Callithrix jacchus: one gene and its partner. The protein of the gene in region 1 binds, or shares a complex with, the protein of each later gene. Links are inferred from orthologs where the notes say so. Each region holds a gene or a part of one and is shown in the gene's direction. Other genes may lie near its edges. The genes, in order: UBL4A and BAG6.

Region 1 (4,532 bases):
GGGCCTCCTGGGCCAGTTTCTGGTCATGCCCTTATACGCTTTCCTCATGGCCAAGGTCTTCATGCTGCCCAAGGCCCTCGCTCTGGGCCTCATCATCACCTGCTCGTCGCCTGGCGGCGGGGGGAGCTACCTCTTCAGCCTCCTTCTTGGAGGGGATGTCACACTGGCCATCTCCATGACGTTCATCTCCACGGTGGCTGCCACTGGTTTCTTGCCACTGTCTTCAGCCATCTACAGCCGCCTGCTCAGTGTCCATGAAACACTCCACGTGCCCATATCCAAGATCCTGGGGACCCTGCTGTTCATTGCCATCCCCATAGCAGTGGGTGTGCTCATCAAATCCAAGCTCCCCAAGTTCTCCCAACTGCTGCTGCAGGTCATCAAGCCCTTCAGTTTTGTGCTCCTCCTGGGCGGCCTCTTCCTGGCCTATCGCATGGGGGTCTTCATCCTGGCAGGCGTCAGGCTACCCATCGTGCTGGTGGGTATCACGGTGCCCCTGGTTGGCCTGTTGGTGGGCTACTGCTTGGCCACGTGTCTGAGGCTGCCAGTGGCCCAGCGGCGGACAGTCAGCATTGAGGTAGGGGTGCAGAACAGCCTGCTGGCCTTGGCCATGCTACAGCTATCCCTCCGCCGCCTTCAGGCTGACTATGCCTCCCAGGCCCCCTTCATTGTGGCACTGAGTGGCACCTCTGAGATGCTGGCCTTGGTCATCGGCCACTTCATCTACAGCAGCCTGTTCCCAGTTCCCTGAGGCCTCTGGGTCAAGCTTTCGTCAGTCCCAGCCTCCACACTCCACCTACTGTCCCCAGAGTTCTTGTGTACCAAAGGCCTTTAGTTCTCATGCACTATGCACTCAGAAAAATCCAGGCTTATTTTTTTTACTGATTTTTTTATTCTCCAGCTTTCAGTGCCAAGGAGGCCATGCTGAGTTAGGTAGGTGGGCACTGCCCCAAAAATATATTTCAATAAAAGACAGAAGCAAGCTTGGGTCCCTTCCAATCTTTGCCCTTTGGTGCCTGGGCTTGGGGGTAGAGTGTGCTGGGTAGGTGTGGACCAGGGTGGAGGACCAGCTTGGATGACACGGTGACCCATGCACAGGCTTTCTCTATCAGCCCTCCCCAGGAATGTCCCCATTCTGGGAGAGGTGGGAGGATGAGAGCAGAGGCCTGGCTCCCCTGCCCGCTCTCAAACTCGGTGGGGTGTTTTGCAGCCAGACCAGAAAGGAGGAGGCAGAAACCCAGCGGGCAGGGGGTGGGGGCGGGCCGTCTGTGGGTTTGCAGGGCCCGGCTCCGCCAGCTGTCAGGATATGTGGGGTGGTTCAGGCCATCCGCGGGGGCGAGCGTAACTCTTGGCCCTTCCTTCTCCATGCCCCAGCTCCTACATGACGCCAACCTGACCCGACGGGTTCTAGCTCCCAAATTCCCCGCACTGTGGCTTTGGGAAGGGTCCGCCGGCTAGGGCAGTCGCTGCGCGTTTGCGAGGCGGAACCCCAGGGGGACTCCTCCTCCCGGGGCGCAATTGGGGTGGGGGGCGTGAACGGGACAGGAGGGCGGGGCCGGGAAGCGCGGGCGGCGGGCGCGCCCCTCTTGCTGCTTCCGGCGGCAGCGGGTGGATCCGGCGCGCGACCGGGGCGGCGGCGCGCGGCGGGGGGTGGTTGGGGTGCGCGCCCGCCCGAGTGGACGCCGCCGCGGCCGCCATGCAGCTGACGGTGAAGGCGCTGCAGGGCCGCGACTGCAGCCTGCAGGTAGGGTCCCGGGGCCGGGCTGCCGGGCCCGTCAGTCGCCCGCCCCTAACAGGAGGACCGCCAGGGCCGAGGGCGGGCACGGGGCGGCCGGGCCGGGGGCTGGTAGCCGAGAGAGCCGCCCTCGGTAGCGGACGCGTGGGCTTCGTCGACCGAGGGCCGCGGGCTCAATCCCTGCCTCCCACCCTCGGCGCGGCCAGGTGCCGGAGGACGAGCTGGTGTCCACGCTGAAGCAGCTGGTCTCAGAGAAGCTGAACGTCCCCGTGCGCCAGCAGCGGCTGCTCTTCAAGGGCAAGGCCCTGGCAGGTACCCAGGGAGAGGAGACGCCCAGGGAGCCCCGCAGGAAGCGGGGCCAGGGTGCTCTGGCCGCCTCGGCAGCCGTGTGACGGGTCGGGGTGCCGGCGCCCAGCGCCACTTGACTCCAGGGTAGACGACCGCATGCTGCAAAGCTGAATCCCGCAGCCCGAAGCGGCCTCGTGTCCTGGGCCACCCCCACGGCGGCAGGGAGAAACTCATCGATCTGTCTTTGGCAGATGGGAAACGACTCTCGGATTATAGCATCGGGCCCAACTCCAAGCTCAACCTAGTGGTCAAACCCCTGGAGAAGGTGCTACTAGAAGAAGGCACTGGCCGGAGACTGGCCGACTCCCCACCCCCGCAGGTCTGGCAGCTGATCTCCAAAGTCTTGGCCCGTCACTTCAGCGCGGCAGATGCCAGCAGGGTCCTGGAACAGCTACAGAGGGTGAGAAGGGCAACCCTGGACATCCTTTCTAGGCCCAGCTGCTCCCAGCCCCCCACTGCCATCCCCTGAATCTTCCTGCCTTTCTCTCCCCAGGATTACGAGAGGTCCCTGAGCCGCCTGACACTGGACGACATCGAACGATTGGCTGGCCGTTTCCTGCATCCAGAAGTGACTGAGACGATGGAGAAGGGCTTCTCCAAATAGCATTCTCAGAGCATAGGGAGGTGCCCAACGCCAGGCCACGGCTGAACATCACACAACGTGTGTTCAGTTGCAGTTGGGCTCATAATAATAGCTGGCAGGTACCTGGCTCTGGCCAGGTGCTAGGCACCACTCACAGCTTGACCTGGGTTTGCTTCCACACCCTTGGAAGAGGAGAGCCAGCACAGCGGGGGCGACGCAGGGGAGGAGCCCCAGTTGGAGTCCAGCAGCTTCTGAAAGTGCCTTGATGTGACAAGGAGGAAGGGGCTGCTTGGAGAGCTGAGCTCACTTGTCATATTTAGCCCACTGAGAATATACACTCAAGCAACTCCTTCCCAAGCCTGAAAGGGGAAGCAGTTGTCACCTGACTTCTGGCGGGTCCAGCATTAACCCTCAGCTCACTGCTGCAGGAGGCCAAGTTGCAGCCAGCCCTGGATCCCCCAGCTGCTACAGCTAGTGAGCGTTCTACAAATGGAAAAGCAGGTTGGGGCCAGGGAGTGAGAAAGTCACCCCAGCTCTGTGATATGACTTTGGGCAAGTCTCAGTGCCACTTTGGTCCCCCGCCACAGACTCTATAGGGTGAGGGCCACTTCCTGATCTGAGTCAGTGTTCTCCGCCCTTACCCCAGCCCAGGGTGGGGAGTGTTAACAGTGCTCTTCTCCCTTCTGTTCAATAAACGAACTGAAGTCAAAAGCAAAGCATGGCCAAGTGTGACCCAGAGATGGGTGTCCTGGCCTTTGGTGACACAGCTCTTCTCTGGGGCACCCTGTCTGCTTGTCTCCTCCTCCAGGAAGCATTAGGGCTGATGGGTGACTCAGAAAGGCAGTGTCAGAGCTGGGACTGGTGTAGGCATTTATCCTCATCCCCAGCATTTGCCACCATGTGGAAGACGAATACATCCCAGCCATCTGTGTGCGGGGGCTTACTTCGTATGCTCCTTATTGCCTGAGAGGAAACCTTGGGGTGCCAAGGCAGGGGCAGAAGCATGGGCTGGGTTCCAGTTCCTCCTCCACCCTGCCCTGCGCATGGGCACTAGAGGACATTGAAGTGCCTGCTCCTTGGAGGAGGCCCCCAGGGGTGGTAGAGGCTGGAAGGAAGCCACAGGCAGGAAGACACCACTCCAGCCCCTCCACCCTTGCCAAGGGAGCAGCTCAGTGTGGTCAGGGCTGCACGTGCTGGAGACCCTCCTGCCTGGGCCTTGTGGGCCAAATATTGGGTCCCCAGGCTGGAAATATGGGCAGAGGCCGAATGAGTGAAGGCTCTGAAGAGCACACAAAAGCCCCTGGCCACCCACGAGAGCTGGAAAGCCATGTATGTGGCTTCAAAGCCATATGTGGAGGGACATGCTTGTGAGCATGTGTGGCCTGCAGCTCAGGTGATACATTTACCAGGGTTCTTGTTTGGTGCCAGGAAATTAATTTTGGAAAGTGAAATAACATTAAAGGTGAACGTGAAACTTCTACTTTTATCCAAAGGAGCTATATTAGCTAGGCTGCTTCTGGTATCCAATAATTGGTTTAAAAATAAAGGCAATTTGTTGAATCAGTACAGGAAATTTCTTGACTTAATGAAAGGAAAAGTCCAGTGGTGTTGGCATTGGCAGCAGGTGAGCAATTTCACCCAGTGTCTTCCTGCCTCCCTCTGCGTTCGTATCTGCTTCATCCCAGGCCATCACCTCCAAGGATGAAAAGATGGCTGCCTGCAGCTTGCATGGAATCCCTGCCTCACTGCCAGATGCCCCAGCAAATAAACACTCTTCTCATTGGTCACAACTGGACTGTGTGTCCAATCATTTTGGCCGCGGTAGAGGGTAATTCTCCATCAGGGCTGTCTCCCTGAGCTAGGCAT
Region 2 (3,800 bases), on another chromosome or scaffold:
TGAGCCACCGCGCCCGGCCAATTTTTTGTATCTTTAGTAGAGACGGGGTTTCACTAATTTGACCAGGAGAGTCTCGATCTCTTGACCTCGTGATCCACCCGCCTTGGCCTCCCAAAGTGCTGGGATTTCAGGCTTGAGCCATCGTGCCTGGCCAGTTTTTCTTCATTAACCTGATTCCAGACCCCATCTTCTTTGCCATTTTTTAATCTTGGGAATTATAGGAGAGTCTGATAAATAAACTCCTGGTATCATTTTGTGTTTGGAAAGGGGTCACTGATGTTTCAGACACACATTCCCGTGGGAGCCAGGCAGAGAATGTAATGTCCAGATGTTTTTTTTGTTTTGTTTCTCATCCATGTTATTTTTCATGGACCTATATATAACCTGAGCTTCATTAAATTTATTTATTTAATTTTTTGAGATGGAGTCTCACTCTGTTGCCTGGGCTGGAGTACAATGGCACAATCTCAGCAACCTCTGCCTCCCTGGTTAAAATGATTCTCTTGCCTCAGCCTCCCTAGTAGCTGGGATTACAGGTGCCCACTACCACACCTAGCTAATTATTTTTGTATTTTTAGTAGAGACAGGATTTCATCATGTTAGGCTGGTCTGGAACTCCTGACCTCAGGTGATCTGCCTGACCTTGGCTTCTCAAAGTGTTGGGAATACAGGTGTGAGCCACTGCACCCAGCCAAGTTTATTGTCTATATTTTGACAGCTGTTACTTCAGTTTAAGGGTTTGCACGGTGATTACCTCACAGTCAAGACAAATGGGTGGTGATTCTGTCAGTTGTCCGTCTCTGTTCTTCCTCTTTCCTCTATTCTTTCCATTCCTGTGCATACCTTCTCTTCCTTGCAGATGAATGTGAAAGAGTTTAAGGAGCACATTGCTGCCTCTGTCAGCATCCCATCTGAAAAACAACGGCTCATTTACCAGGGACGAGTTCTGCAAGATGATAAGAAGCTCCAGGAATATAGTAAGGCGACTGGGGAGGCAGTTGAGACGTTGAGACTGCTATCTGGAGTGTTGAGTTGAGGCCACGGGTTTACCTGTTCATACTATGTTTTGGTGTGTGTCTATTTTTCTGCAGATGTTGGGGGAAAGGTTATCCACCTGGTGGAACGGGCTCCTCCTCAGACTCAGCTCCCTTCTGGGGCATCTTCTGGGACGGGGTCTGCCTCAGCCACTCATGGTGGGGGACCCCCGCCTGGTACTCGGGGGCCTGGGGCCTCTGTTCATGACCGGAATGCCAACAGCTATGTCATGGTTGGAACCTTCAATCTTCCTGTAAGCTTATGTTCCACAGGGGAGGGTCTTTGTGGGTAGCTTTGGTTGTGGTAGCAGCAGGGTATTAATAAGATAGATGCTTCCATCTTTAGGTTGGGTTCAGGGGGCCCTGTGGTATGCTATTGGTGTCAGTGTTTAAGGAGAAAAGAGAGCGGGGCTCCAGGGAATGAATCGGAAGAGTGGAGGCCTTAGTATTGGCTTCTCCCAGAACAACTTCCCTTACCCTTTCCCCAGAGTGACGGCTCTGCTGTGGATGTTCACATCAACATGGAACAGGCCCCGATTCAGGTATTGAGGGGCCTTGGAGGGTCAGGGAAGGGGATCTGGGAGAAGGAGGCTGGGAGGTGGGGTAGACCTGGTTGAAAGATGGCTGGGACCTGATTTAGTAGGTGGTAGAATTCATGGCTTCATCTGTAACCTACCCTGATCACTCTTCTCTCATTGTAGAGTGAGCCCCGGGTACGGCTGGTGATGGCTCAGCACATGATCAGGGATATACAGACCTTACTATCCCGGATGGAGGTAAGTGGGCAAGGCTGGCTAGAGTCTCTCCCCACCTTCCCCCTTTTCTCTCAGCCTGGGGGTTGGGGCATAACTGGCCACATTCACAGGGTTTGGCCTTCGTAATCTAGACTTCTTTGCAGTATTCATTCTTTTGGACAGAAAAACGTATCTTTGTGAGCTGCTCTCATTTCTACCAGTCCTCTTGGTGCCTGGTGCCTGGTATCTGGGGAGTTTGTTTCAGATTTGTCTCATGGGATCTCTTTTTTTTTTTCAGACGGAGTTTCGCTGTTGTTACCCAGACTGGAGTGCAATGGCACGATCTTGGCTCACTGCAACCCCTGCCTCCTGGGTTCAAGCAATTCTCCTGCCTCAGCCTCCCGAGTAGCTGGGACTACAGGCGTGCACCACCATGCCCAGCTAATTTTTGTATTTTTAGTAGAGACGGGGTTTCACCTTGTTGACCAGGATGGTCTTGATCTCTTGACCTTGTGATCCACCCGCCTCGGCCTCCTAAAGTGCTGGGATTATAGGCATGAGCCACCGCGCCTGGCTGGGATCTCTTTTCAATTAAAGGATTCCACATTTGGCCTGGCGTGGGGGCTCAAGCCTGTAATCCCAGCACTTTGGGAGGTCAAGGCAGGCGGAGGTCAGTGAGACCAGCCTGGCCAATATGGTGAAACCCCATCTCTACTAAAAATACAAAAATTAGCTGGGTGTGGTGGCATGTGCTGCATGCCTGTGGTCTCAGTTACTTGGGAGGCTGAGGTAGGAGAATCGCTTAAACTCGGGAGCAGAGGTTGCAGCAAGCCGAGATCATAGCACTTGAACCTGGGTGAGAGAGTGAGACTCCATCTCAGGGAAAAAAAAAAAAAAAAGGATTCCACACTCTTAACTAGTGAAGGTCAGGAAACCACAATCTCTACTCTTTGTTAGAAATCTGTTGACAAATATTACAGATGCTATGGGCAGGCGTGGTGGTTTCTGCCTGTAATCCCAGCACCTTGGGAGGCCATGGCAAGTGGACAACCTGCAGTCAGGAGTTCCAGACAAGTCTGGCCAACATTGCGAAACCCTGTCTCTACTAAAAGTACAAAAATTTGCTGGTTGTGGTTGCATGTGCTTATAGTCCTGGATTGCTTGAATCTGGGAGGTGGAGATTGCAGTGAGCTGAAATCATGCCACTGCATTCCAGCCTGGATGACAGAGTGAGACTCTGTCTCAAAAAAAAAAAAAAAATTACAGATGCTTATTCATCTAATTTATGTTAGTCTTATGCTAGTTGCTAGAAAGTCAGATATACAATTGCAGAGCCCTGCCTTCAGGGAGCCTAGTTAGGACACTTTCTCTATTCAGTCTCCTGCAGAGTAATCCTCTGCAGCAGTCTCATCCTGCCTTTTGGTATCCTGACTCTTCCCCACCTTCAGTGTCGAGGGGGTTCCCAACCGCAGCACAGCCAGCCACCCCCGCAGCCACCAACTGTGACCCCGGAGCCAGTAGCCTTGAGCTCTCAAACATCAGAACCAGCTGAAAGTGAAGCACCTCCTCGGGAGCCCATGGAGGCAGAAGAAGTGGAAGAGCACACCCCAGCCCAAAACCCAGAGCTCACCCCTTCTGGCCCAGCCCCAGCGGGCCCAACACCTGCCCCAGAGACAAATGCACCCAAGTAAGAGATGGAGGGAATCTTTAGGGGGTGGGGAATCCTGAGTGAAGTGTGGGGAGAAGAAAATCAACCATTGTAAAGGAAGGAAAGGATTGTTTGGAGGTCTTAGTTGGAGGGTTAGCATTGAGAGTCGAGGAGGGTATATCTCAGTATAAGTAAATGATGCTAGGAGAGGCAGCTGACAAGAACTGCTCTCCCTGTGGCAAGGAAATCCAAATGATATCTCCTGAGCCTGATCAGAATTCTCTTCTCTGAGTTCACATAGGCTTATTCTCTATTTTAGAGTTAGTTTCTCACCATTGTAGGTGTAGGATTGTGGTGGGGAGGGTGGGAGCAGTTAATTTTCTT

The links.
Region 2: the proteins of UBL4A (region 1) and BAG6 are in contact, whole or in part, in a crystal structure (PDB 4X86), measured with the Homo sapiens proteins. The link is inferred for Callithrix jacchus from reciprocal best matches to the Homo sapiens genes UBL4A and BAG6. Residues at the interface, in NP_055050.1 of Homo sapiens: Val95, Leu98, Ile99, Val102, Leu103, Arg105, His106, Phe107, Ser108, Asp111, Arg114, Val115, Gln118, Leu119, Asp122, Tyr123, Glu124, Ser126, Leu127, Ser128, Leu130, Ile135, Leu138, Arg141, Phe142; in NP_001092004.1 of Homo sapiens: Gly1052, Pro1053, Leu1055, Leu1057, Ala1060, Val1061, Ala1064, Ala1065, Ala1067, Ala1068, Ala1070, Arg1071, Pro1072, Leu1073, Thr1074, Ser1078, Leu1079, Asp1082, Leu1083, Glu1087, Val1088, Ser1091, Tyr1092, Gln1095, Leu1096, Asp1099, Ile1100, Arg1103, Leu1104.

Annotation. Positions count from the first base shown.
Region 1 is NC_133524.1:150,280,078-150,284,609, reverse strand, and holds UBL4A (ubiquitin-like protein 4A), read left to right. Parts: upstream 1-1,673; 5' UTR 1,674-1,696; coding exon 1,697-1,744; intron 1,745-1,941; coding exon 1,942-2,047; intron 2,048-2,274; coding exon 2,275-2,483; intron 2,484-2,576; coding exon 2,577-2,687; 3' UTR 2,688-4,456; downstream 4,457-4,532. Other genes in the region: SLC10A3 (P3 protein), read left to right, coding at 1-751. UniProt on the Homo sapiens protein: As part of a cytosolic protein quality control complex, the BAG6/BAT3 complex, maintains misfolded and hydrophobic patches-containing proteins in a soluble state and participates in their proper delivery to the endoplasmic reticulum or alternatively can promote their sorting to the proteasome where they undergo degradation.
Region 2 is NC_133505.1:39,148,362-39,152,161, reverse strand, and holds part of BAG6 (large proline-rich protein BAG6), read left to right. Parts: intron 1-859; coding exon 860-977; intron 978-1,091; coding exon 1,092-1,288; intron 1,289-1,522; coding exon 1,523-1,576; intron 1,577-1,735; coding exon 1,736-1,810; intron 1,811-3,216; coding exon 3,217-3,455; intron 3,456-3,800. UniProt on the Homo sapiens protein: ATP-independent molecular chaperone preventing the aggregation of misfolded and hydrophobic patches-containing proteins.